Linked DNA regions of Kluyveromyces lactis. Each later gene encodes a partner of the first gene's protein in a complex. Links are inferred from orthologs where the notes say so. Each region holds a gene or a part of one and is shown on either strand. Other genes may lie near its edges.

What was found.
Region 2: IMP2 (region 1) and SOM1 share a complex: the UniProt entries of both Saccharomyces cerevisiae proteins name them as parts of the mitochondrial inner membrane peptidase (IMP) complex. The link is inferred for Kluyveromyces lactis from reciprocal best matches to the Saccharomyces cerevisiae genes IMP2 and SOM1.

Annotation. Positions count from the first base shown.
Region 1 is NC_006042.1:2,492,532-2,495,346, reverse strand, and holds IMP2 (endopeptidase catalytic subunit), read left to right. Parts: upstream 1-1,552; coding exon 1,553-2,089; downstream 2,090-2,815. Other genes in the region: RCH1 (Rch1p), read right to left, coding at 1-242; putative tyrosine protein phosphatase MIH1, read right to left, coding at 2,223-2,815. UniProt on the Saccharomyces cerevisiae protein: Catalytic component of the mitochondrial inner membrane peptidase (IMP) complex. IMP catalyzes the removal of signal peptides required for the targeting of proteins from the mitochondrial matrix, across the inner membrane, into the inter-membrane space.
Region 2 is NC_006040.1:80,629-82,951, forward strand, and holds SOM1 (Som1p), read left to right. Parts: upstream 1-1,582; coding exon 1,583-1,798; downstream 1,799-2,323. Other genes in the region: phosphoacetylglucosamine mutase PCM1, read right to left, coding at 1-1,324. UniProt on the Saccharomyces cerevisiae protein: Non-catalytic component of the mitochondrial inner membrane peptidase (IMP) complex. IMP catalyzes the removal of signal peptides required for the targeting of proteins from the mitochondrial matrix, across the inner membrane, into the inter-membrane space.

The DNA.
Region 1 (2,815 bases):
ATAGAATATTGACCTCTAATAAGACCACCACTCCTAGCAAAATTAGGGAAGAACCGCGCAAGTACAATAAATATGGCTAACCCAATGAAAAACCATTGTGATATGATATACTGTGTGATTTTATGGTTATAAATGACGGAGAGTCGGTGTTTGAACGGCGATGTGTTCTTTCTTTGTTCACTTTCAACCGACAGCGAACTATCAGATGAAACTCTATCCGCTATGTTATCACTTTCTGTCATAGCTATTTCTGAAATAAATGCCAAAACTCTGGTGTTGTCTGCTTTGTTTCAGTTCAGTAAACAATGTTGAAAGTCCGAGCTTAATACTGATATGTTAGCAAAATTTATCTTGGGATCTTGAAAACATATATTATAAGCTAATGTATAACCTTAAACGATAGTTGTCTGTGCCACTAACTAACATTTACAATCTAAAAGCTGCCGTAAGCCAAGATCGTTCGTTCTGTTCATTGTCCTTATTCTGCAGTGCATATATATATATATATATATATATATATATATATATAGATGTAAAATAATAAATCCTAGTCAAATAATGACTTTTCTTATCCTTCTAGTTTTCTGGTTTTTTTTTTTCAGCCGTTTTTCCAGGACATAATGACAACCGATTAGAGCATCTCGGACTCATCCACAAAGAGATACAACCGGCGTCACAGCTACGGTTTTTGATGACCAAACGAGATATAACTTCTCAAAGTATTGTAACAAACATCCTTATATCGTTCATTTCGCGCTGATAGGAGAGCCTTACCTACAACTCTGCGCATTTAAACACCTAATGTCTCCGGGACTCACGTGACTGGGCTTCCATTAATTTCAATTTTTCGTCATTTCACCCATACACTACATAGTACAGGCATCCTCCTCTAAACCGCAACTTTTCAACCAGTTGAAGGACTGTGGACGAGAAATCAACGACAATCTAGGATACCGTTTGCTGCATTAGGTTTGGTTTGTCGGAAACAATAACAAGATTGGAAGCTGTCAAGACATTGAACCGTAGCGTGGGGTTTTATCTTGAAATTGAGAACTGCAACTGGAAGCCAGGTGAGGTTAGTGTGCTAACATTCGGCCTGTAACGAAATCAAAAAAAAAAGAGGATGCTATTAATCCATTACTGTGGTTCCTATTACGGTGCCTTGGCAATCTGAAAATCGCTCTATTCACAGTGCAAGATTAATCCGATAAATATTACGCCAAATGCTGTCTTCGTTTGTCCATTCAACCGGTGATTTATATGCATTGATCCACTGCTCTATTTTTCTCTCTCATCAGCGAAAAAGGACTGTCCTATCATGTCACGTGATTTATATTTCCGGTGAATTTTCTCAAGCATTACTGGGATATTTCAGTATGAATACGAGAATCAACAGATAATTAGACGTCAATATTTGATGGATCTGTAAGATATGCATCCTAAGACAAAAAATGAGGTAAACTGAAGAATTCCCTACCCCAACCGGCTGCATTAAGAATTTATCGCATTGCGACTTCATCGTTGTACGTCCCTGTAATAACTCATTGGTAAAATGGTCAATTATGGAAGCTATGCACTGCGATCTGCGGTTATTACAGTTTCGTGGATTCCAGTTATACTCACCTTCACAGAACATGTATGCTATGTAGCTAAGATTGAAGGCTCCTCGATGCGACCTACGCTTAATCCAACTGATTCGTTCAATAATGAATCCGATTGGGTTCTTCTTTGGAAGTTTAATCTCAAACAAGCCAAGAATTGGAAAGAAAATGATGTAGTACTATTCAAATCCCCTTCGAATCCAAAGAAAGTATACTGTAAACGTGTTAAAGGCGTACAGTTTGATCAGGTGAAAACTAGATCACCTTATCCTAAGGATACCTGTCTGATTCCCAGAAATCATCTATGGGTCGAAGGTGATAATGTATACCATTCAGTTGACTCTAACAATTTCGGCCCCATCAGTACTGGCTTAGCATTAGGTAAAGCAGTCAAAATAGTATGGCCCCCTTCGAGATGGAGCGCAGATCTGAACATGAGCGAAGGAAGAGGTGACATTAAAGTTTTCCCTACGATGGAACATTCGTGACGTAAAGACCGAATACCTGAAGAGAGAAAGAATTTGTTGTTATTTATGTATATATACCATATTAAGCATGCACATAATGAAATGATGAGATTATGGATTTCAATTCAATTCTTATTTTATCGTTGTACCTTGTTTATTTATTCGCATTGACTAATTCCGGGAATAATCGTTTCTTCCCAGTGATGTTACTCATTCTATCGTCAGTATCGTCATCACCAAACTGGAAACTATATCCATCTGAATCTAAATCAGACTCTTCGTGCTCCAGAAATTTTGGTTTAAACTCAGTCCCTATTTCATCTGAGAATAATAGCCTGCTACTTGTACTTAGGCTGCTACTCTTTGATGAATTTAATCCATTGTTGGGAGAACCTTCGCCATATCTGTCTAGGCACAATTTGGGCGGCACGTTTATGCTGAAATTGAAATATGATGCCTCTTCATCATAGTCGATGTTTTGTTCATTGGTCAGTTGATGTTCTTCTGTAGTAACTTTGTTGGGGAGTGGGATATTATAATCGTTGTTTACATCGCTCAAACTTACAGGACAGGTTCCAATTTTGTCTTTCAACTGGAATATTTGAGTTGAGTTTGCTCGAGTCATTAGCTTCTTACTATCTCTTTTAAACTCACTCAATTCTAATTCATGATTTTTTGAATCCATGCAGACATAATGACCCTCGCATTTATTTGGGTATTTCTCATAAAATGTTTTGAAACCACCAT
Region 2 (2,323 bases), on another chromosome or scaffold:
TGGATAACGTAGCTATGACTGCTAGCATATCAGATATTGCGTCGCCAACGGTTTGATTGATCAATTGACTTAGTAGCTTTAAGGATAATAGTGATTTGTATTGTTGTTCATTTCCGGAGGTTTCCTGTAATCTGGAGTCCACGGTTTCTAAGAATTCTCTAGAGAAAATGACAGTACCGTGTCCATTGGCTTCGAAATAGATACCAATGTCATAACGGGAAACTGCCTCGTGATGTAGATGTTTGACTCCTGTCTTGGTGCACGAAACAGGAATTTTCAATTTGTCAGTGATATATTTAGTAGAAGAACCATTCGCATATGCCGTTTGAACGACTCCCAATTTTAAAGTATCAGACAACCCACAATCACGAAGCAAATCTGCGATTAGTTTTGCCAATAAAGTAGCAATCTTGTCACCATCCAATAAATGGAATTTATTTTCTTTACCATCAACGTAATAGAAGACAACACGGTCAGCATCACCATCAAAGGAACAGTACAGTTGAGATGGTTTCGGATTACAATTCGCGGGGAATGTCTGATTGGTTTTAACAAAATCAGCACCACAGGACTCATTCAAAAGTTGAAAGGTCTTTGTCTCACCATTGACAGCCGTTAAGGAGTTTTCTAGCATATGACCAGCCTGAGAAATGAGTTGTTTCACTTTATCTGCCCCAATGCCGTTGGCGCAATCTATCGTTAAATGGAATGGCAATTCAGTGACCTCGTACAATTGCGTCAACTGGTTCCAGATAGAGACGAAATGATCATAATAAGTAGAATCTCTTACTTGTGATGGTTGAGACGAGGTGTTCAAACTGTATACTAGGAAATGCAATTGAGGTGTAGTCAATAATTCGAAATCGATGATTTTAACTGCAGGGAAGACAGATATACCTGCCTTCAAAGCAGCTAGTAAACGAGGACCCGATTCTCGAGAGTCACGTGCCACTGTAATATTAGCTAATTGAGTGGTGTCAATGTTTAATTCTGCTATAATCGATTGCAAAGTAGACTCCAATTGTGTGAAACTGGATGAAGCAGCATTGGCCAATTTTGTAGCAATTGGTTCCCAATTTTGAACCAACATTTCGCCATATGGTTCCACAACCTTCACTCCATTATCCTCAGGTGGATTATGCGAGGCAGTTATCATCACACCGACGAATTTTGATTTAAGGTAGATAGATCTTAAAACGGCAACGATACCTGTAGTGAACATAACAGTATCTAGCACGGAATTGTGTGCTCTGAAACCAGCAGTTCCATAGGTATAAGCATGGCCTTGTTTGCAGTACTGCTCGTATAGGTCACGGAAAGACATTGGTGAGGGTTACTTTCTTGTACTCTTTGCTCTCTTGACGCCTACCAATTAGCCAAATATACATTTAATACTTAGAATATATTTCAGTTGAAGAATTTATACATAAAATATGGAACTCAATGTTCAAAATGAAAGACAAACAAGAGAAATAAGGTGAGAAAGAGAACCAAAAACGTTTATACAGTGGCTGATTTGGTTCACAGAACTGATTGCCAACCAGTTAACGTTACATCAAATAAAGGTGTGTTTTACAGTGTGATGGCTCCACCTACGAAAATACTCGGTCTTGACACTCAGCAGAGAATGCTTCAACGTGGTGAAAATTGCAGTTTAAAGTCTCTGGTACAGAATGAATGTGCTTTTAATGGTAATGACTATGTGTGTACGCCTTTCAAAAGACTATTTGAACAATGCATGGTGAAGGATGGACGTGTATTAAACATTGAGGTAACAAATCTGAACACCAACAGATGAGACTTCGCAACAAGATGTTTACGGAGAAGGATCATAATAAAACTGGAATACAATGAGTTACTAGTGCCGTAGTACAAGGTGTAACTATAATGTCAGGAAGAAGCGCAACCCTAGTCTTCATCTAAAGATCAGTAGATATTTATTGAGCTGACCATGCAGTATTTGAATATGTTTAACGGACAATTACAGATGTCATGTGCGGTTAAAGTCTGCCACAAGTAGGAATTGACCAACATCGTTCTGCGCGGAGATACAGTCATCCTCATATTGGTGATGAAAGCTTACTGATCTGCGTTCTACAAGGAATAACTAGTGGTATATTCATTTTCTTCATTCACGTGACTGGACTTATGGGATGTCCCAGTGTGCAGAAGTAGAGGTTGGAAAGATACATACATTTCGGTTAACGGCTAATCATGAGGGGTTTGTAAAGGTATATGGCAGATGTACATAGTTAAATACAAGCCATATCGCTTCAATTACATTCTGTCGACATCGACGGTTTTCAGGTAAAAAATCGGACCA